2 linked regions of the Tamandua tetradactyla genome follow. The protein of the gene in region 1 interacts with the protein of each later gene in a biochemical or structural test. Links are inferred from orthologs where the notes say so. Each region holds a gene or a part of one and is shown in the gene's direction. Other genes may lie near its edges.

The links.
Region 2: the proteins of NUB1 (region 1) and ubiquitin D-like form a complex in vitro, tested with the Homo sapiens proteins (6 studies listed by BioGRID, with this or other methods). The link is inferred for Tamandua tetradactyla from reciprocal best matches to the Homo sapiens genes NUB1 and UBD.

The regions. Positions count from the first base shown.
Region 1 is NC_135327.1:195,338,359-195,354,985, forward strand, and holds the start of NUB1 (NEDD8 ultimate buster 1), read left to right. Parts: upstream 1-10,522; 5' UTR 10,523-10,610; coding exon 10,611-10,630; intron 10,631-13,289; coding exon 13,290-13,407; intron 13,408-15,262; coding exon 15,263-15,430; intron 15,431-16,627. UniProt on the Homo sapiens protein: Specific down-regulator of the NEDD8 conjugation system. Recruits NEDD8, UBD, and their conjugates to the proteasome for degradation. Isoform 1 promotes the degradation of NEDD8 more efficiently than isoform 2.
Region 2 is NC_135331.1:84,199,946-84,215,448, reverse strand, and holds ubiquitin D-like, read left to right. Parts: upstream 1-9,504; coding exon 9,505-9,531; intron 9,532-10,789; coding exon 10,790-11,257; downstream 11,258-15,503. Other genes in the region: putative olfactory receptor 2I1, read right to left, coding at 13,023-13,943. UniProt on the Homo sapiens protein: Ubiquitin-like protein modifier which can be covalently attached to target proteins and subsequently leads to their degradation by the 26S proteasome, in a NUB1-dependent manner.

The DNA.
Region 1 (16,627 bases):
GCTTCTGTCATCTGGTAGTGAAGTAGGGAAAAACTCCAAACACCACAAAAGAAAGCCCCAGAGCCACTGAGAAGTGGACAAGATTTTTATTGCCGGCAGGCTCAGAGGACCTCTGTCCAAAATCTGAGCCACGAATATCCTTTGTCTCCAGGTTATATAGAAAAGCAAGCAGGTTGGGAGTTACTATGGAAATGGACAGGAAAGGTGCTATCATCTCTGCCTTGTAGCTGATTTCTTCTGTCTGGAATGCAGGCAGGCCTGGGCATGCCTGGCAGATACAGCAGACATTTTGTTTCACTACCTCTTTCAGAAAGCATGTTTTTATACATTCTTGAGAGTACACAAATTCATAAAGCCATTTTAGTAAGGAAACACAGAAATTATACTGGGACCACTCTTATGAACTACCTCAGTAGGGTGGTTGAAATTATGTACACCCCCTCAAGTGGGAACAAATTCACTCACTACCTGCTTGATTTCTCTGTTCCTTTCATATTCTTCTTGTACAGATAAGATGCTTATTAAAATGGCTTTGTTTCCAATAGGATTATCAGTGAAACTAAAAACTGGTCAGACTGAACATTTGAGTCAGCATTCAAATTTACCCAAAAATTTAGTTTCCAACCACTCCTCAGAAATTCCTAATTCTAGATAGGAAAGTCCAGAATGATCTTTTTTTCTTTTTAAATCCACTTTCCCAAAAGTAAAAAATTAGTTTATAATACAACATAGCCCAATGCATTTTTATTGCTCTGATCATTGTAACTACAAATGAAGTGAAATTGTCAAAACTACCTGTTACTTTTCACATTTATAGCAAGAACTGGTCACATTCATCATTAAATTTCACTGTCACGCAAAGGGTGTGTAAGAATCTTCTGTTTTTTCTCCAGCCATTGTTATGGGGAAGTTCCTTGATCTTTATTACCACAGAGCCCATAGCAACAAAAACACAAACACAAAATGAGGAGAATTCTTCTTCTTAAGAAATTGGGCAGATAAAAATCATTAAATGTCAGTGTTAAAAATAGCAGAAGGAGGCAGTTTAATCAAACACAGCAAGAATAATAGAATTTGAATTGGGTATAAGAGAATACATATTACAATTTTGATAGATACTCACAATTTACTTTCCTATGAATCCTACCAATTTGACATTTCACAAGTAATGTATGAGAGTGCCTATTTCCCCACAATCTTGCTGTCACCACCAATCTGATATGTAAAAAGTGATATCTTGATGTACATTTTTAAAAATTTGAATATATAATTTTTATTACAGACATTACAGGTTTATAGAAAAATCATGCAGAAAATACAGAATTTCCATATACCCTCCCTATTATTAATACCTTGCATTAGTGTTGTACTACGAACTATAACCTGTAGGTTACATAAGGGTTCCCTATTTGTGTTATACAGTTCTATGAATTTTTAAAGTTTTTATTCTGGTAATGTACATACAACATAAAATTTTCCCTTTAGCCACATTCAAATATATAATTCAGTGCTGCTAATTACATTCTGAATGTTGTGCTTCTAGCACCACCACCCATTACCAAAATCTTTCCATCAACCCAAATAGAAGCTCTATACAATTTAATTATTATCTCCCATTCTCTACCACCACCGTAAGCCCTGTGTTCTAGTTTGCTAGCTGCTGGAAGGCAACACACCAGAGACAGATTGGTTTTTAATAAAAGGGGATTTATTTAGTTAATGTATAGTTCTTCAGAGGAAAGGCAGCTAACTTTCAACTGAGGTTCTTTCTTGCATGGGAAGGCACAGGGTGATCTCTGCTGACCTTCTCTCCAGGCCTCTGGGTCCCAACAACTTTCCCTGGGGTGATTTCTTTCTGCATCTCCAAGGTGCTTATATGTAGGTCTGTTTTGAGTTGATTTTTATATATGGTGTGAGGCAGGGTCCACCTTCATTCTTTTGTATATGGATATCCAGTTTTCCCAGCATCATTTGTTGACAAGACTATTCTTTCCCCATTGATTTGACTTGGCACCTTGTTGAAACCAGGTTGACTATAGATGTGAGGGTTTATTTCTGACTGCTCAATTCAATTCCATTGGTTTTATGTGTCTGTCTTTGTGTCAATTGTATGATATGTTGATTGTGGTGGTTTTTTGTTTGTTTATTTGTTTATTTTCTTGTTTTGGGTGCATCGTCCAGGAATGGAACCCCAACCTCCTACATGAAAGGCAAGCATTCTGCCATTGAATTACCCATGCACCCAATTATAGTGGTTTTGTAATAAATTTTAAAAAGGGAACGTATGAGTCCTTTCACTTTGTTCTTCTTTTCAAGATGGCTTGGTATAGTTTTAATTTATGTTTATCTCATTATGAAAGAGGTTAAACAATTTTTCGTATGTTTATGAACCATTTATATTTATTTTACAGTGAACTATATTTTTTATAGCCTTTATCCATTTTTCTATTACCTTTTTTTCTTATTGATTTGTAGGGACTCTTTATGTGTTAAAGAGATTTGACTTTGATGTAAATTGATAATATTTTCCTCCCATTTCGCCATTTGTCTTTAGCCTTTGCTTATGAATTTTTTTTTATTTTTTTATTTTTTATTTTTTTTTGCATGGGACACCGGGAATCGAACCCTGGTCTCTGGCATGGCAGGCAAGAATTCTGCCTGCTGAGCCACCGTCGCACTGCCCTACTTATGAATTTTAAATACAGATTTTTAAGTAGTAAAATTTAGCTTTTTGTTTTGTTTTGTTTTTTGGCTTCTAGGTATTGTGTGTTCATAAAAAAAAAGTCTTTCTTCTCTCCCTTTTCTTCTAAAACTTATATGGTTTCTTTTTCTTTTTTTTATGTTATAATCTTTGATCCACTTGGAATTCATCCTGGTATACCGTGTTAGGTATGGATCAAACTTTATTTTGTTTCTAGATGGTTATTCAGCAATCTCTATACTATATATTGAATAGACTGATGTTTTCCCATTTATTTGAGATGCCATCCTTCCTTATCATATACTGGATGAACTGTTTATATTAGAACCCCTTTCTGGACTTTCTATTTTGCTCCATTGTTCTTCTTTTTCAAGAGACAGTAAAACACACTTCAATTTAAAATGTTTGAGGGAATGTAATGAACTAAGTTTATAACTAGCACACATTAAAGGAATTTCATTTGTTCAACTTAAGTTTCTAAACTTTACTCAAGAAACAATTGTAAGAAATTTATTTTAGTTTTATACAAAAATGTCCAGATTTATAAATAGAACATCAAAATTTGTAAGTTGAACTTAACAGGCTTAAGAAAACCTATATTTAAAATTTTTCAACTCTGATAAATTGAATATTCATTTAAAATAGTCTTTACATGAATAAAAAGCTCCCCTTGGACAATAAAAAATTTCACACAGAGATTAAAGTTATAAACATAAAAACTATAAACCTTCTAATAAAAAGTATAGATCATAATATTGACCTGGCAAAGTCCTTTCTAAGCAAAATACAAAAAAGCAGGAACAATTACAGAGACTATTGGTGGTCTTGACTACCTTATATGTAAAACTACCATGTGGTGGAACATGTAAATAAAGGTAAAAGACCAAGCAAACCAACCTGGAAAAAATATTTGTAACAATGTCATGATGAAAATATTTGTAATATATAGTGAATTTCTACAAATTATTGAACAAAGAACCCAATAGTAAAACAAGCAAATATGAATAAAAGGAAGATAAATGCAAATGGCCAAAATAATACAGGAGACATGGTCTGCTTCATTAATAATATGGCAAGGGGAATTTGAAATAATGGAATGCCATTTTCTCGCCCATGAGATTGGCAAAATTATGATAGATTTTTGTTGGAAAAAAGTTTGAAATTTTTTTCAATTATCCTATTTTGATGAGGTTGCAGGGATATAGGCTCTTTTGTACACTATTGATGGGCTTGTAAATTGGTACAACTTTTTGGGAAGCAGTTTGGCAATAGCTTTTCCATTTCTGGGACTCTATCTTATAGAAATACTTGTTGTGGGTGGGCAACAGTGGCTCAGTGGCAGAGCTCTCGCCTGCCTGCCATGTCAGAGACCCAGGTTTGGTTCCTGATGCCTGCCCACATAAAAAAAAAAAAAAAAAACGATTTATAGAAATACTTGTAGTTGCAATGATATATATACTGGTATGATTTTTTGTAGCATTGTTTGTTATACCTAATACATGGAAATAGACTGAAAGTCAGTATAGAAATATTTAAATGTTATAATATTTATTTCATTAGAAAGAACGAGAAAGACCATATCTATATGAAGTGACATTCAGAGATCCAAAATGTACTATAATTTAATTAAAAAAAAAGAGACGGAACTATATAAAAATTCCACTTATATAAAAAGAACAATGTGTGTACAAGGTGTGTGTGTGTGTGTGTTCACAACCTGTTCTCATGGAGAGGAAAGTGGCGTTGTGGGTAATGGGGAGAACTGTGAATCTTTGGCTCCCACAATGTTTTTAGGCTGACATGGGAAAGGACATGGCTATAACAAAGAGGTGTCGTCAAGCGCCACATAATGGTGAGGCTAAATGGTAAGGCAGGAATCAAACTGGGAGGGGCCTTGGGGAACTGGGCATTCTAAAACAGCTTCTCTATGAAGAGCACTTTGATGAAATTGTGGTGTTTGAACTGGAGAGGACACTGGTTAGCGGGTTGTTGCAGGCAGTAGTGGTTTGCATGCCAGGTAGTAAGGTCCTGAATTAAAGCCATGGCCCTGGATTGGGAAAGTCAGCACTTATTCTCAAGCCATTTTGGAAGTAAAAGTGAGAGGAATTGGACAGGGGACTATAAAGAAGAGTCAAGATTGACACCAAGGTTTCAAGCTGGGGAGACAAGACACACAGCTGTGCTGTTAACCAAGGTAGAGAATACAGGCAAGGAACAGATCCATTGGCCTTTCTTGAGTTGAGGTATCATTCTCTGGATGCCTTAGTTTGGACAATTTGTATGGCCTTGGAACTGTAGATTTGTGGTGTAAGGATTCCCTTTGTAAAAGCCAACCCATTTATGGTATATTGCATTCTGGCAGCATTAGCAAACCAAACACATGCCCAACATCATTATTCATTAAATAAATGCAAATCACAACCACATGTTACTTCTTTATATCCACTGTGATGATTATAATAAAAAAGACAGACCAGTGTTGTTGAAGATGGGGAGATACTGAAACCTTCACACCTTGTTGGTAAGGATGTAAAATGGTGCACTTGCTTCCAAATGTCAAACATAGAATTACCATATGACTCAGCAATTCCACTCCTAGGAATATACCCAAGAGAAATGAAAATGTATGTCCACAAAAATACTTGTACATGAATTTTCAAAGTAAAATTATTTAAATAGCTAAAATGTGGAAACAACTCAAATGCCCACCAACTGATGAATGGATAAACAAAATGTATACCCATACAATGGGATGTTATTCAGCATTAAAAAGGAAATTAAGTACTGGCACATGCTACAACCTGTACAAACCTCAAAAACATTATGCTAAATGAAAGAGGCTACACACAAATGGCCACATATTGTATGCCTCCATTTATATGAAATGTTCAGAATAGGTAGCTCTATAGAGACAGAAAGTAGATGTGCTGGTTTGAAGCTATTAGTACTCCAGAATACGCCACGTTCTTTTAATCCATTCCTGTGGGTGTGAGATCTATTGTGGGTGGGACCTTTTGATTAGGTTGTTTCAATTGAGATGTGACCCAACCCATTCAAGGTTGGTCTTAATCCTTTTTGGAGTCCTTTATGAGAGGATAAAAGACAGAAAAAGCTGAGCGAACTCAGAGAAAAAAGCCCTGGAGAAGCAAACAAGTACCCCTAGAACCTCACAGAGGTGGCCACTGGAACCAGAAGCTGAAAACAACAAAACCCAGGAGAGAACCACCAGCAGACATCACCATGTGACTTCCCATGTGACAAAGGTGTCTGGGATGCCAACAGTCTGTCTTCAAAGTCCAGGTATCATATTGTTGATGCCTTAATTGGGACATTTTCATGGCCTTAGAATTGAAATTTTAAGTTAATAAATCCCCATTGTAAAAACCAACCCATTGCTGGTATATCGCATTCTGGCAGCTTTAGCAAACCGAACTAGTAGACTAGTGGTTGCCTAGGGCTGAGGTGTTTGAGGGATTTGGGGAGTGGTTACTAATGGATACAGGGTTCATCCTGGAGATGATTAATATGTTATAAAATTGATTGTGCTGATGGGTGCACAATTCTGTGAATAGACTAAAAAACATTGAACTATACAATTTAAATTAGTGAACTGCATGGTATGTGAATTATACCTCAATAAAGCTGTTTTAAGAAGTGAGAATGCATGCCAACATGAACTATAAAGAAAAAATGTAAATCATTTATTAAAAAGATCAATGCATTGAAAAATGTAGACTTCGTAGTACGTTCAGGAAAAAAATCAAATTTTACTACAGTCACAAAGAAGCAAATGGCTTTTGCCCTTGATATTTTTTTAATCATATTTTGAGTTTTTGCTTTCTTAGGATAACTGTTCTTGTCCAATGAATAAGGCCTGACTGCAGTGTTACTTGATCATGAATGCTGTTGTCAGTTAGCTTTTGTTGCAGAGCAAACTATCCCAAAACATAGCGGTTTAAAATAAAACTTCTATCAAGCTCATGATTCATAGAATCAGGGTGATTCTTCTGTCTGGGTTGGCCCAGGTGATCTCTGGGGGACTTTCCAATGTGTCTGTGGTCAGCTGGATCTAGGACGGCTTCACTCACATATCTGGCAGTGAGCAGGCTGTTAGCTGGGGGTTCCTTGGTTCTCTTCCATATGGCCTCTCACTCTCTTGAAGGTGAGCTCAGACCTATTCACATGGTGGTCTCCAGCAAGAGAGAGCAAGCCCCAAAGCCCAAGCACTCTCAAGCCTCTGCTTCCATCACATTTGCTATTGCCCCACTGGTCAAAGCAAATCACAAGGCGAAAACAGATTCAGGGGGTGGAGAGATAGACTCCATCTCTTGATGACATCTTCCACCCAGGCACACATCTTTAACACAGCAAACTTTCTGGTTAATGAGTAATATTTTGCACACCTCTTGCATTTGTACAACCCATTTTGGAAATAGTATTAGGTCTGCTTGAAGGATCATCTCAAGCTATTTCCCCTGGAATGCATCCCCTGTCCAGTGCACAAGGCTCAGCAATTTTCAAAGAAATTAACATATTACATTTAATAACCCAAACTACACTGAACATACATTAATTAACACATCTTTCAGAAAGCAGTTCAAACGTCTATGAAGGCACCTTGTTCAAATCCTCCATTAACATTACTTGTTACATTTCATTGAATTAACTCTCCTCTTCATCCTTCACATGCAATCAGTCCTCAACTCCTATTTTTCCGCTGCAGAGTTCTCTCTGTTTTGCACTCCTTCCCTCCTCCTTTTATTTCCTCTCTGTCTACAGTCAGATCCATGTCATCATTTCATGCCTGGATTATCCTGATATCCTCTGTACCAGTTTGAATCTTTGTACCCCACAAAAGCCAAGTTCTTTAATCCTCATTCAACATTGCTAGTTGGGAGCTTTTTGATTATCCATAGAGATGTAATCCACCCAATTGTGGGTGGTAACTTTTGATTAGATGGTTTCTATGGAGATGTGTCTCCACCCATTCAAGGTGGTGTTGCTTACTGGAGCCTTTAAGAGGGAACCATTTTGCAAAAAGCTATAGACCCCACACAGCCAAAGACCTTTGGAGATGAAAAGGAAAACGACCCCAGGGGAGCTTCATGAAACAAGAAGCCTGGAGAGAAAGCTAGCAGATATCGCCATGTCTGCCATGTGCCTTTCCAGTTGAGAGAGAAACCCTGAATGTCATTGGCCTTCTTGAACCAAAATATCTTTCCCTAGATGCCTTAGATTGGACATTTCTATAGCCTTGTTTTAATTTGGACATTTTCAAGGCTTTAGAGCCTGTAAAGTTGCAACTTAATAAATTCCCCTATGCCGATTTAGGTATATCACATTCCAGCAGCTTGCAAACTAGAACACCCCCTTTATTGAACTCTCTGTATCTGGTATCTCATTGTTCCACTTGATTCTGCATTTCATCATCGGGCTGATATTCCTAGAATTGGCCCTCACTAATTGAGCAATCATTATCCAGGATCCTACAACTAGTCACAAAAAAGGAGAAGTTCATTAGCATAATTGAAGCTAGCCTCGGAACATTTCTTGGGAGAGGGTGGATGGAAAGTCAATACTAACAGCAGCAACCACAAGCAACAATCACTGGGTGCTTTACATACATTATTTCACGGAATTCCCACCACAACCAAAGGCAGTGCTGTCATTATCCCCATTTTACAAGTGGGGAAACTGAGACAGAGAAAGGGTTAAGTAATCCGCTCCAGATCACCTCTCATACTCGCTGGAGTCATGGTGCCTTACTGAAGGATCCATGCTTTCAAGCACCACACTGTGACAATGATTCTGGAACAGGTCCAAGGATGGTGACAAAAAAAACAAAAAAAAATTTCCTATTTTTTCTCAGAACCAACACAAAAGTTCAATTCTCTGAACTCGCATTGAATTATATGATAAACATCCTCTTCAGAAGTCCCTACCAAGACTCTGGACCCCCAAAAGCCAGTTGAGCCTCTGGTTGAGCATATGTAGCTCAATTAAAAATAAAGCCCCCATATTGACAAATCACATATCATAGTCATACATATTGTACAAAATTTTTGGAAGCTTTACTTTTGCAGAGCTAATAAAAAATTTTTTTTAAGTTAAATAAATAAAATAAAGCCCCCGTGATGGTTTTGGTGTCACTTTAGCCAGGTGATGATGGCCAGTTGTCTCATCAGGCAAGCACTGGCCTAACTGCTACTGCAAGGATCTTTTGTGGCTGGTTGATAAACCACAAGGTGTTTATTGAATCATCAGTCAGTTGATTGTATCTGTGGCCGACTACATCTAAGATCAACTAAGGGCACTCCCCCCCACTCCCCCTACCCCACGCCCAAAGAGATAATACAATCAGTTGGATTTGATTTGATTTGTTGAAGACTTTTAAGGGAGAAGAAAAGAATTTTCACTGTTTCTTCAGCTCCCAAGCCTCTCCTGTGGAACTCCACGAGACCCTTCATGGGATTTGCCAGCCTCACAGCCCACTCTACGGATTTGTGACTCTTACATTCCCACCGTTGCATGAGACACTTTCATAAATCTTTTATTTACAGGTATCTCCTGTTGGTTCTATAGAGAACCCTGACTAATACAGCTCCGCTACACTTAACCCACCCCTACAAGACTAACAGGTCCCTGCTCCAATCAACAGAACCTAGTCAAATTCTTTCTTTTTGTTTATAAAACTGCTTGCAAATTCCCCAACCTCCAAGCTGCTTTCATTTTTGAGATTGGTTTCCTTGGTGGAGCAATCTTGGTGTCCTGAATTAACTGCAACTGGACTCCGATTTGTCTTTTGACAATTGGCTTCCGGATTTAGAAGGATGAAGCAAACTTTCGGGGGTCCAAGATGTACTCTATCTTATCCTTCTCCCTCGCCTACCAAAAGCCTGACCATCTTTCAAGCTCGTACTCAACCATCTGGGATCTGCTTTCTCCTCACAACATTTCACAAATTGCTTTTTTGTGTGTGTGTCTACAGTTGTCTTTGTCCTCCACTAGACATAAGGGTATGGACCTTATCTTACGTTTATTTCAAAGTGGCGGGCTCAGCGCACTCCACTTTGAAAGTTGCCTTCTCGGTTGATAACGGTAATGGATATGGTAATTGGGGGCAAAAAGCTCTAGCGAAAGAGGTCGAGCAGGTAGGGTGAACCTGTTCAATTTCACCACGAGCGCACGCTCCGGGTGGGATTATCAAGGTGTGATTATCAAGGGTAGGGTGGGAAACAAGAGGCGTGGGGGTGGGTGGGACATCCGGTTTGGTTCGGCCTAGACCAGGGGGCGGGGCGCAGATAAAAGGTCCCAGACACCTGGGCCTAGAGCATCGCCCTGGCCCCGCCCCGGCCCCACCCTCCCCCACCCCACCCCTTCCCCGGCCCCGCCCCCGCCCCGCCCCACCCCACCCTTCCCAGGGGCCCTGTTCTTTCCGGCTTTCCGGGCGAGCCCGCCCGGGCAGCTCCGCCCCCGTCCCGCGTTCGTGGCCCCGCCCCCGCCCCACCCCGCCTTCCCGACCGGCCCCAGACCCGCAACCCCGCCCCCACCCCGCCTCCTCGTGGGCGCGAGGGCTGTGAGACTGCGGAGGCGGAGGCCGGTTTCACCCGGAATGAAAACAAACAGCGGCCGCCACCGCATCCGGGCACTCGGCTGGTCGCGGGTAGGAGCGGCGGTGGCGGAGGTGAGGAGGCGACGGACTCACCCGGCGGCTTAATTGTAGCCGCCGCGGCGGCATTTTCCGGACGCCCGCCGGCACCCGGAGTGGCTCTGGCGCGACTCGGACGCCCCTCCCCGACCCGGTTGGGGTTGGCCGGGAGCTGAGGCTGGAGAGCGGCTCTTGCGTGAGGCCCGGTCCGACCCCGGGGCGGCGGCCGGGCGGGGCGCTTCGGGACGCGCAGGCTATCGGATGTCTTTTGGTTTGCTAAGGTTGCCTTGGGCTGGGGCGGTGGGGAGGGGAGTCTTAAAAAAGGAATTTTGGAGTATTGTTTTTTTGGAAAACATAAATAAATATATATATATGTATAACTAATTAGCCAGACCAAAAGCTTGACTCATAACACTGTTATTTCAAATAAGCCTTTCGGATTTATTTGCAGTGAAAGCCAGAGGTTTTTTGTTTGTTTGTTTGCTGTTTAATGAGTAAATACGGTTGATTTTCCTGAACCTTGACCATATGATTCTGTATTTCTCATCTCTTTCCTTTACTCTTAATCTTTTAATAGAAGAGTCTTTTATTGCTCTTTCTAAGAAAACTTAAGGGGTTTTGGGTAGATACAGTTGAAAAGCTTTGGGTCAAGGTGGCGTCGATCCATTAACTTACAAAAGTGAAAGTGAAACTTTTAAAGTTGTGGTTTCTACCATTTCACTTTCAATTTGTAACAGTGATGTTAATGGATTTCAGCATTTTTTGGTTGTTTTGGATGACAGGCAGGAAACTAGCTTTCTCAATTATCCATTAAAATAGAAAACTGATTATTAAGCTTTTTTCTTTTTCAGTGTACTTAAAATCTGTAGCAGTGCTTAGTCTGTTATCTGTCACTGAAGTCTTGTGTTTAAAGACAGTGGGAAAAAATGAAATCTTAAGCTGTTCATTTGCTGCGTGATGTGTTGGACACAGACTAGGTTTGTGAAACACTTTTGGCAGGCGGTGGCTTGGGTGGGTCCTCTGAGGGCCGTGCATTCAGCCTTCCAGATAGCTTGGCTCCAGTAGCCCATGAAGTTATTCCGGCAGTGGGTTGCCCTGGTATTTTATTCAGAAATTCTGAAGAGATATGAGTAAGGAACATAACCGTGTGTAGTGGTCATGTGAGTTATTTGCCTTCGAAAAGGTACTGCTCATAAGTACTATGAAGTTTTTCAGCGTGAGAAGCAGTTAGTACTTGAAAGTAGGATTCTTTCATGGGCAGCGCCCCAGTGCAGGCAGCACTCTCCCTGTTAGTTCCTTCCTCCCTTTTATTCCCTTATCTTGTCCCAAACTAGTATAACAGACTGGACTATTCTTTTAAATATGTTTATTTATTGAAAACACTTAAGTTACCAAACTTGATTTAAAGGTCAGGTGAACTGGATTTTGAGAGTACATATGTGTGTGTGAAATAGTGCCTTAAATAGAAAACAAGTCCTTGTCTAGGTTATACTAACATAGATATATATAAATTTTTTTTGCGTACATGGTCTGGGAATCCACCCTCGGTCTCCCACATGAAAGGTGAGCATTCTACCACTGAACCACCTGTGCTCCCTATTTTTTTTTTTGCATGGGCAGGCACCAGGAATCCAACCCGGCTCTCTGGCATGGCGGGTGAGAAGTCTGCCTGCTGAGCCACCCTGACCTGCCCTAATACTAACTATATATACTTTAAATGCAAATTTTTTTAGATATGCTCACATACCATATAGTCCATCCAGAGTCTGCAGTCAGTGGCTCACAATATCATCACATAATTATTCATTCATCACCGCAATCAATTATATTACATTTTAATTACTCCAAAAAAAAAGAGGGAGAAAAGAAAACCTGATACATCCTATGTCTCTTTTCCCCTTATATATATATATAAATAGATAGATGGATAGATAATAGATATATAGATTTTTTTATTCCTCTCTAGATCTCGTTTCCACCATTCAGGAGCTATTAACTTTTTACCTTTCTACTATTTGCACTATACTTTATCAACTATTTGTCATCAGTCACACCCACAACACTGATTGCTCTGATCGTAAGTTAAGTGCTATATGTAGACAGGTCTGCTGATGGCATGTGGTTCTTTGGGAAAGAGTAGTTACATACAGAGAACAGAAAAGCACCTACGATTGCATTATAAAATGCAGAGTCCATTATTGTAGGCAGAAGTTCCAGCCTAATTTTTGTGGCTGTGACTGAGTCGTTTTACAAACCTGGGACCTCAGTTTTCTAAGCTCCAACTAGAGTTAGAATTGAATATAGTAATGAATTAAATGTAGTAAAACGATGCTTCAACTAGTGTTATAATTTAATTTAGTATTTGTAAAGATGCTATAATACTGTTTTCACAAAATGTCATGCAAAACTTTTCTAGAATTGTAAAACTTTTTAATTCTATAAATTCAGGTATAGATATTATTTATTATTGATACTTCATGGTTCAAGCTGGCTTTTCTTTATATTTATTTACCAGGGTGGTCAATCTTTTATTTTAATTAAATTTAGCCAAAATACAAAAGAATTTATGAGCTCAATGCTTTTTATTTATAAAAGTTACTCTCAAGTTATTGCACAATACAATCTTTAGAACTTAAGTTTGAAATGTTTTGCTACTTTAGGGATTCATCTTTTAGTTCTTTTTTTCTCAGATCAGGTAATAATGTATTAAGAAATAAAAAAGTATAACAAGTCTTGCTATATATTGGCAATTTTGGATTTACTATATACATAATTTTTTTAAAACCTTTAGAGCTAGTTAAAGCGTTAGTAATTTAGATAAATATGAGAGAGAGGGTAGGAGGGAGTTTATTTTACAGAATACCTCAGTGTATTAAGTAAGTTATAAAGCATTTCAAAATGTGCTGTGGGGTTTTAATCTTATACAATTTTGCTTTCCAGGATGGCACAAAAGAAATACCTTCAAGCAAAATTGACCCAGTTTTTAAGGGAAGACAGAATTCAACTTTGGAAACCCCCATATACAGATGAAAATAAAGAAGTTGGTTTGGCATTGAAGGTATTTTTCTTTTAAGACAAGTAATCAGCAGTGTTATAGATCTTTCTAGTAAACAAATTTCTGAAGTTACCAGAAATTGCCAGGCACAACCAAATAAAGTTTTGGCATAACCAGAAGCATCAGTGATAAAGCAGGTACCCACTTTTTTGCTAGGATTTGACAGACTTATTTATGTTAAATAAGATTTTATTCATTTAAGAATGTTCTCTAATTTTTCAGGCATACGCTGTTTTTAATACCGTCACAAAATTACATAAAATGATTTATCTAGGAAGTAATTTTGACCTAACAGCTCAGCAGTACTAGTGCTAGTTAAGTTATTGTTTTATGTTTTTAGAGCGCCATTGTTTTGGTTGTTTCTCAGTCCTCTTGCTTATCATGGTCTTATATAAAATCATTGCTCCACTTTCCCAATTCTTTACTCTGTGGCTATCAGTGTTCATTTTTCCAAAATATATGTTTTTTAATGGTTATGCCTCAGTTTTTTATGGCATCATCAAAAATGAAATTTCTAGAAACTGAAGTTTGCCTGCTTACCTAATCCAAAAACCAATCATTTTTTATAGAAATCTATTAATTTGTAAAATCCTGTCATGATTTCTTAGTTTTTTCAGTCTGAGTATCCTGAATATGATGTAGCATTTATTGGGGACAAGAGATTATCATGAGGGCATGAAATTGTTCTCTGTCATTTTGCAGTGATGTAGTTGAGAAGTGGCCGAAACTGTGTCAGGGTGCTAAGAGTTTTCTGTCTTTCTTGTCCTCTGCCCCTGGCAAATCTCACTTTTATTTTTTGCAACCTACCTTATGACCTTGTTTCTGAATTTGTTTATTATAATTTCTTGGCTTGGAAAGTAATTAGTTTTTTTAAAAGTGTTATTTCAAAAAAACTTAGTTTTCTGATGTTAAAAATAATACATTAAAAATGTGTATAATTAAATTCAAAAAATAAGGAATACATTTAAAATATATATATCATTAATAGTGCTATATTCTTTCAGTGTTTTTTTATATAAATGTTGAAATATCTAAGTATTACAAGTAGGTATATAGTATCTTAAAAATAAAATACTCAGCATTCTGCTTTAATTATGTAGACCATCAATATCTCCCCCATCATAAACTCCATTTTTTTTTTTTGCTCCATCATTTTTAAGCACTGCATAGTACTGCATTATAAATTTTATAAAACCTTAGGCTTTAGGGTTCTTTAGAGTGTTTAATGTTTTATGAGGAGTGAAGCCTCTCAGATCTTAATGAGCTTTTAAACCTTAAAAGCAGATATTCTTGGAGAGGAAACATAGTGACTTCACTTCATATAATAACTGGTTCAGATCTTTCTCTGAGGCCCCTTTAGTCTTTTAAGTTCTCTTTACCAATTCTAAAGCCCTCCTTACAAATAATTTTATTACCAGTACCAGTGATTCAGAATTTTCTGTTAAAAAAATTGTTTAAACCTTACCTGGTTTGTTATAACTACAATTAAAATGCTTTCTCCATTTTTCTCTTTTTGTTTTCCTGCAGTAGAGATAAATAGTTCACTATTCCTTGAATAATTTTTTTACATATTCCAGTCAATAAATCACAGCTTACCCTTCTTATTCACCTATAGTAATCCCAATTATTTCACTTTTTCTATTGGGCCTGTTTCTCTAGCTTCCCCCCCCACCCCCTGAATTTGAATTCTCTGTGCCTCACAAGATGACAAGCTGCAAACTGGATTTTACTCTAATAAACATGACCGCAACTCAGCAGAGTTTATTGCCTTGAGTCCTACATGTGCCATTCTGTCTTTTATATATTTTTTTCCAAGTTGGTACAATATTGATCTGTGTTTTCTGATTTTTCTTGATAGGACCTTGCTAAGAAATACTCTGACAAGCTAGAATGGTGTGAAAGTGAGATTGAAAAAATAATAGAAGAAATACGTTGCAAAGCAATTGAACGTGGAACAGGAAATGAAAATTATAAAACAACAGGAATTGCTACAATTGAGGTATTTTTACCACCAAGAGTAAGAAAAGTGAGTAACATAAGTCCTAATGTTTAACTTAGTGAAAAGTTAAGTTGTGATTTTTAAAAAACTATAATCCAGACTTACACTTCTTTAAGTTATTTTGCATGTTGAACGTTTATTGACTTACAACTTAATTTTAATTTTCTAGCTGGTAGTTTGTTTTCCCAGATCCCATTTACATAAAATCACATGCAAATATGATATATCCTGTTTATGAATGAACATTTATGTATATAAAAACAAAAGGATGGTGAATGAATAAACAAAATGTTGTATATCCATGAATGGAATGTTATTTGGTAGTAAAAAGAAACTTCTGATACATACTACAACACAGATGAATCTCAGAAACGTTATGCTAAGTGAAAGAAACCAGACACATTCCTTTTATGTGAAATGTCCAGAATAGGCAACTTCTTAGAGACAGGAAGCAGATTCCTGGTTGAGTAGAGCTGGGTGGATGGGGAAGGTAAGGATGAAATAAGAGGTGGGAAGATTGGGAAAAGTATGGGGTATGATTTTTGCCAGGGGAGAGGATAATGAAAATGTTCTGAAATTGGATTATGATGATGGTCCCACAACTCTGTAAATATTCTAGAAACCTTAGACTTTAAACAGATGAATTTTATGGTATGTAAATTATATCTCAGTTGTAAGGGTATCAGAAACTTTAGTTAGCTTCCTCAGCTAACATCTATCAAGATTTGGATGGCCTCAAGTGTTCCTAGCAGGTTCTGACACCAACTGCAAATACTGCAGTAACTCAGTCCAGTACAATTCTGACTCTCACTACCATTAGGCCCATTCCGCAAGTTAAGGGAAATCTCCTATAAGATCGTCCTTCAGGCACCCGTCACAGGTTTAGGGGCCACCCACACTTTGGACCAACTGGCCACAGATTGAGGGAGTTCCCAGCACCTGCTCAGGCTTGATAATTAGCTGGAATGACTCACTGAACTCACTGAAAGTGCTATACTTAGGATTATGGTTTTATTATAGTAAAAGAATATAAAAGGAAGCCAAAGGAAGAGACGTATTGGTCGAGGTCTGGGAGGCTCTCAAACGTGTCCACTCATCGAGGCGTCAGAGCACATCACCCTCCCAGCACAGAGATGTATTATTTCAATCATGGAAGGTCACTGGGACTTCAAGTGGCCTCATTATGTAATTGTGACTAATAGACTCAATCTCCACCTGGTTGAA
Region 2 (15,503 bases), on another chromosome or scaffold:
TTACATTACAGTTAGGTAGTACTGTGCTGCCAATTTCTGAGTTTTTATATTCAGTCCTATTGCACAATCTGTATCCCTTCAGCTCCAATTACCCAATATCTCACCCTTTTTCTATCTCCTGATGGTCTCTGTTACCAAGGAAATATTCCAAGTTTATTCACTAATGTCAGTTAATATCAGTGAGATCATACAGTATTTGTCCTTTTGTTTCTGGCTAATCACTCTCAGCATAATGTCCTTAAGGTCCATTCATGTTGTTATATACTTCATAACTTTATTCTCTCTTACAGCTGCATAATATTCCATCTTATGTAAATGTCACAGTTTGTTTAGCCGACTATTTGTTGATGGACATTTTGGCTGTTTCCATCTCTTGGTAATTGTTAATAATGCTTCTAGAAACATTGGTGTGTATGTCCATTTGTGTCCTTGGCCTTGTATCCTTTGAGTAGAGACAGCATATAGATGGGTCCTGCTTTTTAATCCATTCTGCCAGACTATGTCTTTTGATTGGAGAGTTTAATCCATTAACATTCAATGTTATTACTGCATGGGCAGTACTTTCTTCTACTATTTTGCCTTCTGGATTTTATATGTCATTTCTAGTTTTCCTTCTTTTTACCTTTACTCATAGTCTTCCTTTCTACACTCTTCTCCACACCTCTCTCTTCCGTCTTTGTATCTCTCTCTAGTGCTCCCTTTAGTATTTCCTGCAGAGCTGGTCTCTTGGGTCACAAATTCTCTCAGTGATTTTTTGTCTGAAAATGTTTTAATTTCTCCCTCATGTTTGAAGGACAATTTTGCTGGATATAGAATTCTTGGTTGGCAGTTTTTCTCTTTTAATAATTTAAATATATCATCCCACTGTCTTCTTGCCTCCATGGTTTCTGCTGAGAGATCTGTGCATAGTCCTATTGGGCTTCCCTTGTATGTGATGGATTGCTTTTCTCTTGCTGCTTTCAAGATCTTCTCTTTCTCTTTGACCTCTGACATTCTGATTATTAAATGTCTTGGAGTATGTCTATTTGGATCTATTCTCTTTGGGGTATGCTGCACTTCTTGGATCTGTAATTTTAAGTCTTTCATAAGAGTTGGGAAATTTTCAGTGATAATTTCCTCCATTAGTTTTTCTCCTCCTTTTCCCTTCTCTTCTCCTTCTGGGACACCCACAACACGTATATTCGTGTGCTTCATATTGTCTTTCAATTCCCTGAGTCCCTGCTCATATTTTTCCATTTTTTCCCTATAGTTTCTGTTTCTTGTCGGATTTCAGATGTTCCGTCCTCCAGTTTTGAAATCCTATGTTCTGTCTCTCAAAATCTACCATCGTAGGTTTCCATTGTTTTTTTCATCTCTTCTACTGTGTCTTTCATTCCCATAAGTTCTGTGATTTGTTTTTTCAGACTTTCAGTTTCTTCTTTTTGTTCTTTCCTTGCCTTCTTTATATCCTCCCTCAATTCATTGATTTGGTTTTTGATGAGGTTTTTCATGTCTGTTCGTACATTCTGAATTAATTGTTTCAATTCCTGTATGTCATTTGAATTGTTGGTTTGTTCCTTTGACTGGGTCATAGCTTCAATTTTCCTAGTGTGATTTGTTATTTTTTACTGGCATCTAGACATTTAAGTATCTTAATTAGTTTATTCTGGAGATTGCTTTCATTTCTTTTATCTAGGGTTTTCTTGCTGGATGAATTTGTTGTCTATCTGTTCTTTGACATTCCGTTCAGCTTTATCTGGACCTTTAGCTTAAGTTTTGTTTAACAGAGAAGAATTTTTCAGTTCTTAATTTCTTGTTTCTTGCCCTGCTTGTGGGGTGCCTCCCCCCCCTCCAACACACACACTTAGGAGGGTCTACTTAGATATTATAGACCCCAGCCAGATATTCTCAACCCTCCTCCCTCTATCATTCTCACATGCAGCTTTATTCAGTGTTTTAACATAATTACATTACAGTTAGGTAGTATTGTGCTGTCCATTTCTGAGTTTTTGTATCCAGTCCTGTTGCACAGTCTGTATCCCTTCAGCTCCAATTACCCACCGTCTTACCCTATTTCTATCTCCTGATGATCTCTGTTACCAACGACATATTCCAAGTTTATTCACTAATGTCAGTTCATATCAGTGAGACCATACAGTATTTGTCCTTTAGTTTTTGATTATTCTCACTCAGCATAATGTTCTCAAGGTCCATCCATGTTGTTACATACTTCGTAAGTTTATTCTGTCTTACAGCTGCATAATATTCCATGGTATGTATATACCACAGTTTGTTTAGCCACTTGTCTGTTGATGGACACTTTGGCTGTTTCCATCTCCTTGCAATTGTAAATAATGCTGCTATAAACATTGGTGTGCAAATGTCAGTTTGTGTCTTTGCCCTTAAGTCCTCTGAGTAGATACATAGCTTTGGTATTGCTGGGTCATATGGCAATTCTATATTCAGATTTTTGAGGAACCGCTAAACTGCCTTCCATAGTGGTTGCACCATTTGACATTCCCACCAACAGTGAATAAGTGTGCCTCTTTCTTCACATCCTCTCCAGCACTTGTCATTTTCTGTTTTGTTGATAATGGCCATTCTGGTGGGTGTGAGATGATATCTCATTGTGGTTTTGATTTGCATTTCTCTAACGGCCAGGGACATTGAGCATCTCTTCATGTGCCTTTTGGCCATTTGTATTTCCTCTTCTGAGAAGTGTCTGTTCAAGTCTTTTTCCCATTTTGTAATTGGATTGGCTGTCTTTTTGTTGTTGAGTTGAACAATCTCTTTATAAATTCTGGATACTAGACCTTTATCTGATATGTCGTTTCCAAATATTGTCTCCCATTGTGTAGGCTGTCTTTTTACTTTCTTGATGAATTTCTTTGATGCACAAAAGTGTTTAATTTTGAGGAGCTCCCATTTCTTTCTTTCTTTCTTCAGTGCTCTTGCTTTAGGTGTAAGGTCCATAAAACCGCCTCCAGTTGTAAGATCCATAAGATATCTCCCTACATTTTCCTCTAACTGTTTTATGGTCTTAGACCTAATGTTCAGATCTTTGATCCATTTTTTGAGTTAACTTTTGTATAGGGTGTGAGATACGGGTCCTCATTCATTCTTTTGCATATAGATATCCAGTTCTCTAAGCACCATTTATTGAAGAGACTGTTCTGTCCCAGGTGAGTTGGCTTGACTGCCTTATCAAAGATCAAATGTCCATTGATGAGAGGGTCTATATCTGAGCACTCTATTAGATTCCATTGGTCAATATATCTATCTTTATGCCAGTACCATGCTGCTTTGACCACTGTGGCTTCATAATATGCCTTACAGTCAGGCAGCATGAGACCTCCAGCTTTGTTTTTTTTCCTCAAGATACTTTTAGCAATTCGGAGCACCTTGCCCTTCCAGATAAATTTGCTTATTGGTTTTTCTACTTCTGAAAAATAAGTTATTGGGATTTTGATTGGTATTGCATTGAATCTGTAAATCAATTTAGGTAGGATTGACATCTTAACTATATTTAGTCTTCCAATCCATGAACATGGTATGCCCTTCCATCTATTTAGGTCTTCTGTGATTTCTTTTGACAGTTTCTTGTAGTTTTCTTTGTATAGGTCTTTTGTCTCTTTAGTTAAATTTATTCCTAAGTATTTTATTCTTTTAGTTGCAATTGTAAATGAAATTCGTTTCTTGATTTCCCCCTCCGCTTGTTCATTACTAGTGTATAGAAACACTACAGATTTTTGAATGTTGATCTTGTAACCTGCTACTTTGCTGTACTCGTTTATTAGCTCTAGTAGTTTTGCTGTGGATTTTTCCGGGTTTTCGACGTGTAGTATCATATCGTCTGCAAACAGTGATAGTTTTACTTCTTCCTTTCCAATTTTGATGCCTTGTATTTCTTTTTCTTGACTAATTGCTCTGGCTAGAACTTCCAACACGATGTTGAATAGCAGTGGTGATAGTGAACATCCTTGTCTTGTTCCTGATCTTAGGGGGAAAGTTTTCAATTTTCCCCCATTGAGGATGATATTAGCTGTGGGTTTTTCATATACTCCCTTTATGATTTTAAGGAAGTTCCCTTGTATTCCTATCCTTTGAAATGTTTTCAACAGGAAAGGATGTTGAATCTTGTCAAATGCCTTCTCTGCATCAATTGAGATGATCATGTGATTTTTCTGCTTTGATCTGTTGATATGGTGTATTACATTAATTAATTTTCTTATGTTGAACCATCCTTGCATACCTGGGATGAATCCTACTTGGTCATGATGTATAATTCTTTTAATGTGTTGTTGGATTCGATTTGCTAGAATTTTATTGAGGATTTTTGCATCTATATTCATTAGAGAGATTGGTCTCTAGTTTTCTTTTTTTGTAATATCTTTGCCTGGTTTTGGTATGAGGGTGATGTTGGCTTCATAGAATTAATTAGGTAGCTTTCCCTCCACTTCAATTTCTTTGAAGCGTTTGAGCAGGACTGGTACTAATTCTTTCTGGAATGTTTGGTAGAATTCACATGTAAAGCCATCTAGTCCTGGACATTTCTTTTTGGGAAGCTTTTTAATGACTGATTCAATTTCTTTACTTGTGATTGTTTTGTTGAGGTCATCTATTTCTTCTTGAGTCAAAGTTGGTTGTTCATGCCTTTCTAGGAAGTTGTCCATTTCATCTACATTGTTGTATTTATTAGCATAAAGTTGTTCATAGTATCCTGTTATTACCTCCTTTATTTCTGTGAGTTCAGTGGTTATGTCTCCTCTTCCATTTCTGATCTTATTTATTTGTGTCCTCACTCTTCTTCTTTTTGTCAATCTTGCTAAAGGCCCATCAATCTTTTTGATTTTCTCATAGAACCAACTTCTGGTCTTATTGATTTTCTCTATTGTTTTCATGTTTTCAATTTCATTTATTTCTGCTCTAATCTTTGTTATTTCTTTCCTTTTGCTTGCTTTGGGGTTAGTTTGTTGTTCTTTCTCCAGTTCTTCCAAGTGGACAGTTAATTCCCGAATTTTTGCCTTTTCTTCTTTTCTGATATAGGCATTTAGGGCAATAAATTTCCGTCTCAGCACTGCCTTTGCTGCGTCCCATAGGTTTTCATATGTTGTGTTTTCATTTTCCTTCGCCTCGAGATATTTACTAATTTCTCTTGTAATTTCTTCCTTGACCCACCAGTTGTTTAAGAGTGTGTTTTTGAGCCTCCATGTATTTGTGAATTTTCTGGCACTCTGCCTATTATTGATTTCCAACTTCATTCCTTTATGATCTGAGAAAGTGTTGTGTATGATTTCAATCTTTTTAAATTTGTTGAGACTTGCTTTGTGACCCAACATATGGTCTATCTTTGAGAATGATCCATGAGCACTTGAGAAACAGGTGTATCCTGCTGTTGTGGGGTGTAATGTCCTATAAATGTCTGTTAGGTCTAGCTCATTTATTGTAATATTCAAATTCTCTGTTTCTTTATTGATCCTCTCTCTAGATGTTCTGTCCATTGATGAGAGTGGGGAATTGAAGTCTCCAACTATTATGGTAGATGTGTCTATTTTCCTTTTCAGTATTTGCAGTGTTTGCCTCATGTATTTTGGGGCATTCTGCTTTGGTGCATAGATATTTATGATTGTTATGTCTTCTTGTTGAATTGTTCCTTTTATTAGTAGATAGTATCCTTCTTTGTCTCTTCTAAGTGTTTTACATTTGAAGTCTAATTTGTTGGATATTAGTATAGCTACTCTTGCTCTTTTCTGGTTGATATTTGCATGAAATATCTTTTCCCAACCTTTCACTTTCAACCTATGTTTATCTTTGGGTCTAAGATGCGTTTCCTGTAGACAGCATATAGGAGGATCCTGTTTTTTAATCCATTCTGCCAGTCTATTTCTTTTGATTGGGGAGTTCAGTCCATTAACATCTAGTGCTATTAGTGTTTGGGTGGTACTTTCCTCTACCTTTTTCCCTTTTGTATTTTACATGTCATATCTAAATTTCCCTTCTTTCTACACTCTTCTGCACACCTCTCTCTTCTGTCTTTTCTTATCTGTCTCTAGTGCTCCCTTCAGTATTTCTTGCAGAGTTGGTCTCTTGGTCACAAATTCTCTCAGTGACTTTTTGTCTGAAAATGTTTTAATTTCTCCCTCATTTTTGAAGGACAATTTTGCTGGGTATAGAATTCTTGGTTGGCAGTTTTTCTCTTTTAGTAGTTTAAATATATCATCCCACTGTCTTCTCGCCTCCATGGTTTCTGCTGAGAAATCTACACAGTCTTATTGGGTTTCCCTTGTATGTGATGGATGGCTTTTCTCTTGCTACTTTCAAGATCCTCTCTTTCTCTTTGACCTCTGACATTCTGACTAGTAAGTGTCTTGGAGAACATCTATTTGGATCTATTCTCTTTGGGGTGTGTTGCACTTCTTGGATCTGTAATTTTAGGTCTTTCATAAGAATTGGGAAATTTTCAGTGATAATTTCTTCCATTAGTTTTTCTACTCCTTTTCCATTCTCTTCTCCTTCTGGGACACTCACAACACGTATATTTGTGCGCTTCATATTATCATTCAATTCCTTAAGTACCTGCTCATGTTTTTCCATTCTTTTCCCTGTAGTTACTGTTTCTTTTTGGATTTCAGATGTTCTGTCCTCCAGGTCACTAATCCTAACCTCTGTCTCTTGAAATCTACCATTGTAGGTTTCCATTGTTTTTTTCATCTCTTCTACTGTATCCTTCATTCCCATAAGTTCTGTGATTTGTTTTTTCAGGCTTTCCATTCTTCTTTTTGTTCCTTCCTTGCCTTCTTCATGTCCTTCCTCAATTCATTGATTTGGTTTTTTTTTTTTTTTTTTTTTTTTTTTTTTTTTTTTTTTTTAGAGAGAGGGAGGAAAGGAAGGAAAGACAGAGAAGGAAGGAAGGGAGGAAGAAAGGGAAACATTTTAAACATTTTCTTGTTTTATTATATTTTGTTTGTTTGTTTGTTTTTTACATGGGCTGGGGCCGGGAATCGAACCGGGGTCCTCCGGCACGGCAGGCAAGCACTCTTGCCCGCTGAGCCACCGCGGCCCGCCCTGATTTGGTTTTTGATGAGGTTTTCCATTTGTGTTCGTATATTCTGAATTAGCTGTTTCAGCTCCTGTATCTCATTTGAACTAATGGTTTGTTCCTTTGACTGGGCCTTATCTTCAATTTTCCTTGTGTGATTTGTTATTTTTTGCTGGTGTCTAGACATTTAATTACCTTAATTAGTTTATTCTGGTGATTGCTTTCACTTATCTTACCTAGGGTTTTCTTGCTAGATGAGTTTGTTGTCTACCTGTTATTTGACCTTCAGTTCAGCTTTTTCTGGGCCTGTAGCTTAAGTTTTGTTTAACAGAGGGTAATTTTTCAGTTCTTGTTTTCTTGTTTCTTGTCCTGCTTGTAAGGTGCCTTTTCCCTCCCCACCCTTAGGAGGGTCTACATAGGTATTACAAACTCCAGCCAGGTTTTCCCCGACTAAACTGGCCTCCTATCAGGGGGAGGGAGTCACCTGCATAAGCTTACCCTGAGGGTGAGTCCCAGCAGGTTGAAAGACTTTCCTGTGAAGTCTCTGGGCTCTGTTTTTCTTATCCTGCCCAGTATGTGGTGGTTGTCTATCTGCAGGTCCCACCACAAAAGATATTGTGGCTCCTTTAACTTTGGAAGGCTCTCCCTGCTGGGGGCGTGGTGGAGACAGAGAAGAGGTTTTAGGCTGGTTTTAATGGCTTCAAATTGCCAAGCCCTGGGTTCTGAATTCCTTGAGAGAGGGATTCCACCTGAGTTGGGCTTCACCCCTCCCCTGGGGAAGGCTCAGCCTGGAGATAGCCCTGAAGCCATCCATTTCTGCATATGCCTGGGGCAGTTGTAACCTGTGTAGTCCTGCCGCTGAATCCAGAGGCAGCCAAGCCTCCATAGAAACAGCCACAAAAGCCTCCATTTCACCCCCTTTCCTCTTTTTTGGTTAGCCCAATAAGCAACCTCTGCCTTGACCAGTTTCGCCTGAGCTAGGGGCCTATTTTACGTAGTCAGAATTTGTTTATTAATGCCACAATTGGTGTTTGGTTGGACTCAGTCCCTGCTACTGTTAAAATGTCTTTCCTTTCCCTCTGGGAAGCCACCTGTGGGGGAGGGGTGCCACACGCCGGCTGCCACGGCTTGGGGAACTCACGGTTCCAGAGACTCGCAGCCGGTCCAGCTGGTCTAGACTGGGGTACGCTGTGTGTCCAGCTACTATCGTGGCTCCGGGAGCTGTTATGTACTGTTTCTGGTTATTTAGTAGTTGTTCTGGAGAATGAACTAAAATGTGCACATTGCTAAGCTGCCATCTTGGCCCCCCAACTTGACATTCTTATAGGCATTTTACCCTGAGAAAAAAATATCAAAGCACTTTTAATAAATTATATATTTATTTAAAAAAAACTGCAATGGAGGGATGGTTTGGAAGACGCCAGTGGTTAATTTGAAATGTTAAGAGGGTTAGAGTGATCCAACAAATCCCTTGTGGGTACACAGCTCAAGCACTCCCTTTTTGTCTCAGTTTAATTCTCAAGAGCAAGGGAGTGAACAGCATCTTTAGGTGTTTTCTGAGATCACGGTAGTAGGGAGAGTCCTAGGGAAAGGGAGAGCATTGGATGCACCATGGTATGAGAGTGGCTGTGTGAATGTGTTGGTGTGCGGGAGATGGGAGTCAGCATTCCATTGTTGGTCTTGGGTTGTTATGAAGTAATAGATTTGGGTTGCAGGCTCTGGAACAGGGTAGGTAGTGTGCTTGTGAGTTCAAAACTCAGAAATGTAAAATTCTCTGTGAAGACATTTTATAAATATTTTCCTAAGCCTGGAAGACACTTAGGAATCCTCTCTAATTCTCTCATTTCCTTTTTAGACAAGGAAACCAACATCCAAGGAGGTAAACAGACCTGCTCAAGGTAATATAGCAAGTGACACATCTGGGACTCAAACTCATGTCTCTTCTCAGTCTAGGGTTATTTATTATATGTCCTCTCAAGACAAGTTCCACACATTCTGCCGCTGTGAACAGGCCACTCAAAACACCATCCCTGACTGTCCTCTTTTAGGTGCCCTAGCTCTCAGGACAGCCCCTGACTGATGGAGGATTCATAAAAGCAGCAGAGGAGGGTCACCTAGCAGATTAGGTCTTCATGCCAGTGAAGCTCAGAGCTGAGAGTTACACAATCATAAATCAGGACTAGGAGGGTGGAGGTGGGGTGTTAACAGAAGGAAACTCTGAACAAAGGAGGACCATACTGTGCTTCGAATGAAGTGTGTAAATGGATTGGTGAGGGGAAAAATGTCTGATCAAGAAAGTATTCTGTTTTATTGACCCCACCCCAGCAAAAGTGAGAGAAAATTTCTGAGACTGTATCAAAAACAAAGGGTACAGTAAAGCTGCCTAAAGATAAACACAACAGTCCAGGCAGGGGATTTCCACCTCGATTACCTGTATATAGCTGTCTTTTTCTCATCTTCGTATTTCTACTGCCTTGACTGCAGAGATGGCTCCCAATGCTCCCTGCGTCTGTGTAAGTTGGGACCTGAGAAGGGTGGGGAAAGGAAAAGCACCTTTAATTGCTCAGGGGGGCACAGATTTAAGGAACTGAATAGGGATGGTGCTCAGGGAGTAGGATAGCCCAGAAGGCAGCTTGAAGGTGAGCAGAAAGGAATTATTTTCAGAGTGGGCAGAAGGTTGTTGTGGAGAGAAGTCATACATTTGGCTCCTGATTTCTGTTTTGTGTCAGATCTTGAACTGTTAGGGATAAATGGTAGGAAGTGGACTAGACTTTGTGTTCAACAGGGCTGGCAAATTATGGAATTTTTTTCTTATGTCCTTTTCTCCTATCCTGATTAAGTATTCAGGGTTCTTAAGTTTAAGCTTCCCTCTCCTCCCAAAGGAAATCTTCATTTTTCTCATGTTTTTAATGACCCAATATATTACCTTCAATAAGAACATATGCATTATGAAGACAACCTGGAATGTGGGCATCACTCAACACAGAGTAGAGACACTCCAGTGGAGGAATACTAACACAGTCTGTGTCGTGTAAGCTGGGGAAATTTTTTTGAATGGGCTATGAAGGAGCTCCTCCCAGGCTTTTGGGCGATAAAACAGGAATGAGCTGCCCATCTTTCAGAATTTTCCAGTTATTGAAGTAATACTCGGATATAGTCTCCATCTTCCGTGAGGCTCTGGTCTGATTATATAGATCACGTTCTATGATAGGTAGATACAAAAACAAGAAAAAAAAAACTGGCATGTAACATTGAATATAATGTCACAGAAATATGTGACATCATTATAAAGTAATTAAATGTTAAATCAGATAGTAACAGCAAAGCGATTGTGTCCTAACCAGTTTCCTTCCAAAGTAGTTGCAGAACATCTCCATGAGTATCCAAGGAGGCTGTCAAATCTTGAAAACTTTTTGGGAGTTGTTTTTAGAGTCTGGTGTGCATTTTTTTTTAAGCTTTCTAGTTGGATTTATTTTTTGACATTTGCCACATTTTACCTCAATAGGAGTCAGGAAAATAAAGTGGGAAATCATTAATGATATTTTGGGATAAATATAGGGTGTGGTTATGAAGAAATGAGCCTTCTCTTGTTTGGCTTATACCTGGGTCTGGAGGCAGTACCAAAAGAGAAGTGCCAAGAAAAGAAGGGTCACTGATTGGTGGGAAAGAGCAGGAGTGCTTAGCAGGCAGTAGAAGGGGAGGTGCAATGAAGGTAGGGTTGAACGTGTGGCAGATAATCTAGGAAGCCACCTCTAGGTTCTCATTGCCAAGGTGAACATTCATTCCATGGAATGGGAATTAATGACCTTCACTGCCAACATAAATGACTCAGTGAAGATAATCAGTGAACATATCAGTTCTAGGACCAAGGTTCCTGTGCAGGACCACGTCCTGTTTTTGGGTCCGAAGACCCTAAAGCCCCCAAGAAGGCTTTCATCTTATGGAATCGACAAGGAGAAGACCATCCACCTCTCCCTGAAGGTAGTGAAGTCCAGTGATGAGGAAGTTCCCATATTTCTGGTGGAGTCAGGTGATGAGGGGCAGAGGCAACTTCTCCAGGTGTGGAGGTCCAGTTCAGTGGCTCAGGTGAAAGAGATGATTGACATAGACCATGTCAGGCCCGAGACCCAGACTGTGACTTGCAATGGAAAGAGACCAGAAGATAGGAAGACCATGGCAGATTATGACGTTAGAAAGGGGAATTTACTCTTCCTGGCATTTCCTTCAATTAAGGGATGATTGCCCTTGTATTGGAGTGATCTCAGGAAAAAAAGTGACTATTTCCTTTTAGCTTTTACTCACCAATCATGTCCTTTATTAGTTTGCCAAGAGGAATAAATAGATAAATATAGAATTTAAGATTTGGGTGGGGTGGGAAGGAAGACTGCAGAATACCTTTTCACCTTTATTATTCTTTGATTTTAACATAATTATAAGGCAGGATAGTGTATAAGGTGTTAATGAAGATAGAAATGAACTGCCGAGGCTCATGAGAGACAACATTCAAATCCAGTTTGTAATTTAGTTATTTCATGGTTCCCTTTGATTCATAGAGAAACTCCTATTTCCTTTCTTATCTGACAAGACATTAAGTTTTAAATTGGGATCCCTGCTTTTCTAATTTCTATGTTTTCCATTTATGTTTGACTCAGTGCTTCATGTAAAATATCACTCAATAGTTGCTGAACTAAACTGAATTTCCATGGAGAACAGTGAAATGAATTATTAACTGAACTCTGACTAGATCACAATCTAATTCATAGATAAATTAGAAGTTAAATTAAACTTTCTTTCTCTCTATTTAAGGCTGTTTGATATAAAGTGAAACCTGGCACAGAAATGCCTTGCCTACCCTGCATGTCCCATAACAGTTAGAATTGTTCTTATTTCTGTAGATGACAGTGGGCATGGCAGCTCATTTCCATGGGGAGCTAGAGAGTCTGTGCCTCTTGTGGGGACTTCTTGGGGTCAGATGTGTTTCAGGAGGGAATGGACTTTCTGAAAGGTGGAGGAATGTGGACAGTCTCTGTCCTGTTTGTCTTACGGTGTGGCAGGTCTTCTTTAGGTCAGGTATCAGTCTGGATGAGGGGGTAAAGGGTTGACCTCTGGCCTGGCCCCAGAACTCTGCCAAGTTCTGCTGAAGGGGCCTTTTCCTTTCTACTTCCTTCACCACCAGGTCCTGCTCCTCTCTTGGAAACTTGAGTTACGTCCTCCATCTTACTCCCTCCATTTACTCTTCTGCCTCACAGCCTGACTCTCAGGTCTTGCTGATTGTCACTTTCATCTTTTCTCACAACCTGAGACATGCCTACCTTATTCTTCATGAGTTCTAGTCCCTTCTGTTCTTTAAAAATTGCTCAGAACCACTTCCTATAGGTGGGTTTCCCAACTTAACCACACCCAGGAGAACTCATCACACTTAGGAGTGTTCCTCATTACTCTTCTGGGTCAGGTGCCCTGTCGTGGGCACTGGTCACCTGGCCAGGTGGGTATTATGTCCCCGTTTGGATGGTTTCCCCAAGAAGAGGCACCATGGCTCCTTTTTTCTGGATGGAGTTTCATGCAGGGTAAGGTTTATGAGTTCCTTATCAAACTGAGAACCCCTGATAGCAGAAACTGGGAGAAAGCTAATAACGGTAAGCTTCAAGTCACACATCATCTCATGCACACATGGAGTCTGCAGGGATTGTTACTTGTCTCCTGAGGATAAGGAGATCTCCCGAAATCATATCTCCTCCCTTATCAGCTTGGGAGAAAAGTTCGAAGGCCATTTCCTCCTCCCCAAACTTCTATGTAGAGAAGATATTTAGATTTTCCCTCATGAATCTGAACACTACCTGAAAATGGGAAGGGTTAATCTCCCCCATTAACGTTGGGTTCCCTGAGGACAAATCTTGCAGATTTTCTATCAGAAATGAACAGCTTGAAGCGAAACTGACTGACTCTCCAACAGCATTTCTATTCCTGGGTCCTGGGCTGACAGTTTCCTCCTTCCCTTCCCCATTCACTGTCCAGCCTGCCTTTTCTCCAGGCTCCCCAGGAACCTCCTTGCTGCCCCCTTCACCTCCTTATTCCTTAGAGTGTAGATGAGCGGGTTGAGGGCGGGCGTGACCATGGTGTAGAAGAGCGAGACGAACTTGCCTTGCCCTTGATTGTAGCTGTGCGTGGGTTGCAGGTAGGTGTAGATGGCCGAGCCACAGAACAGGCAGACGGCGGTCAGGTGGGCCCCACACGTGCCCATTGCTTTCCTCCGGCCTCCGCGGCTCCTCATGCCCCACACAGCGCGGGCCACGGCGCCGTAGGAGGCCAGGATGACCGCGGACGGCAGCAGTAGAATGACCACGCGGGCGACGAAGATCTGGCGCTCAGTGGATTTTTCGTCGCCGCCGCAGGCCAGCTTGGGCAGCGCGGGCAGCTCACAGAAGTGGTCCAGCTGGAGGGGCCCGCACAGCGGCCGCGTAGCCAGGGACGCTGTTTGGGCTGCGGAGTTGGCTATGCCACCCAGCCAGGAGATGCCGGCTAGCGCGTGGCAGAGGCCGGGCGAGGCGAGCCCGGCGTAGCCCAGCGGGCGGCACACAGCGGCCGCGCGGTCCAGCGCCATTACAGCCAGGAGGACGCTCTCAGATGAGCCCAGCGCCAGCGACGCACACAGCTGGGTCATGCAGCTTGCGGGAGTCAGCCGGCGCGCCCAGCCCTGCAAGTTAGCCAACAACGGCGGCACCACGCTTGCGGTGAAGCCGGCGTCCACCAGGGCCAGGTGGCACAGGAAGTAGTACATGGGCGTGTGCAGCCGCGGGTCGCGCACCGCCGAGTTCCCCGCCAGGGTCATCAGGTAGCAGAGGACAAGGGCGAAGAGGCCTGGCTGCAGGGAGGGCCAGTCGGAGAAACCCAGCAGGAGGAAGCGCTGCTCTGTGCTCAGGTTGGCCTAAAGGAGGAAAACTCCCAGAATGTTTGAAAGGACCAGATCTAAAAGGGTGATACTATCTCTCCAGGCAAATGAGAACCCGTGATGTAGGTGTGGGGCAGGGAAAGGGACTGATTCATATACCATGTTTTTGTAATCTCATTTACAGACCTGAATTCTTAGTTTTGGAAGGAAGCCAAGTATTTGGTATACGTTCCTTTATGTATTTACAAGATCCTATGTGGAAGACAGAACCTCTGTTTTACAGAGGGGTAAACTGAGGCCCATAACGGGAAGTTGTCTTAAGACAGTAACTAGCCTGTGGATCCGTGGGACATACTCAGGCCTGCCTGCTTTCCAAATCTGGTTGTATTCCCAGGGGCCAAGGAAGAAATCCCTCCCGCATGACAACTCTTCATGTTGTTGAAAGCAGATGTCACTCTGTGTTGGGGCCCAGAAGTAGCCCTCTGACTGTTGGCAAAGCCATATCAGAATAACCTTGGAGACACGGCTTGGTGCCCTGTGAAATGAGGTCCAGCCTGTATGCACCTTAACTAATCCAGCCTTACTGTGAGAAAGTTCTGCCTCTGCAGTTTCAGGCAGGTTAGTCAATGCTCACTCTGCTCTCAAGGACAATGACTCTGGAGCCCAAAGAGAGGTGTATAGAAAACATTCCTATGAGTAATAAATGGTTCCTGGGACAGGAATTGTGAACCAAACTTTGTAACTTTGCAGGCATGACAGATATTAAAAATAATCTTGCTCTGTTATACTCCCTAAAGCAGTTCCCATGGAAGAGCACAATAAATAGATGAATGTCAGTTTATTTGGTAATGTTACTCCTGATGAGCTTGAGTCCCCTGACCCCACTTAACTAACTTCTTGTGTCTGTCCTTTCTTAATCCTTTGTAGCGCCCCTTCTTCTCCCCTGTTCCCTAGGGAAATCCTGGCAACTGAGACCCTCTATCCCTTCTTTGAAAATGTGTGGTGCCTAAAAATAAGTATAATACCACAGGGTTGGTCAAACCAACACTGGGTAGATGAGAACTATCACCTTCCATATTTCCGATGCTCTGCCTTTATTAATGCAACCCATCACACTTCTGCCTACTGATGCTTAATCTGTAATGTATAGAGACTGCTTCCATGACCATGTCCCTCCTGCCCTAAGTCTTGAGTGGTGATTTTGATGAGCACAGATCAGCACATGCATTTCAGCCTTAAATCCATAGTCAGCTGTTAGAGGAAGTCATGAGACCTGAGTTCTAGGTAGCATAACTGCTATTTGGCACTTATTTGATATGGCAAAGTTACTTCATTGTCCTCTGACTCCATTTTTTTCATGTGCACATGTATTAATATGATTAAGAACAAGTTTCTGGAGCTGGACTATCTGAGTTAGAGTCACATAGATGCCATGTCCTAGCTGAGGCAACCATAGACATGTTACTTAACCTCTCTGTGCCTCAATTTTCTCATTTGTCAAATGAAGTGAACTAAGTGGGTTAAACAGGTAAAAAGTTCCTAGAACAGTGCTTGAGAACACATAGTAGGTACTCTATTAAAATGCTAACTATTACC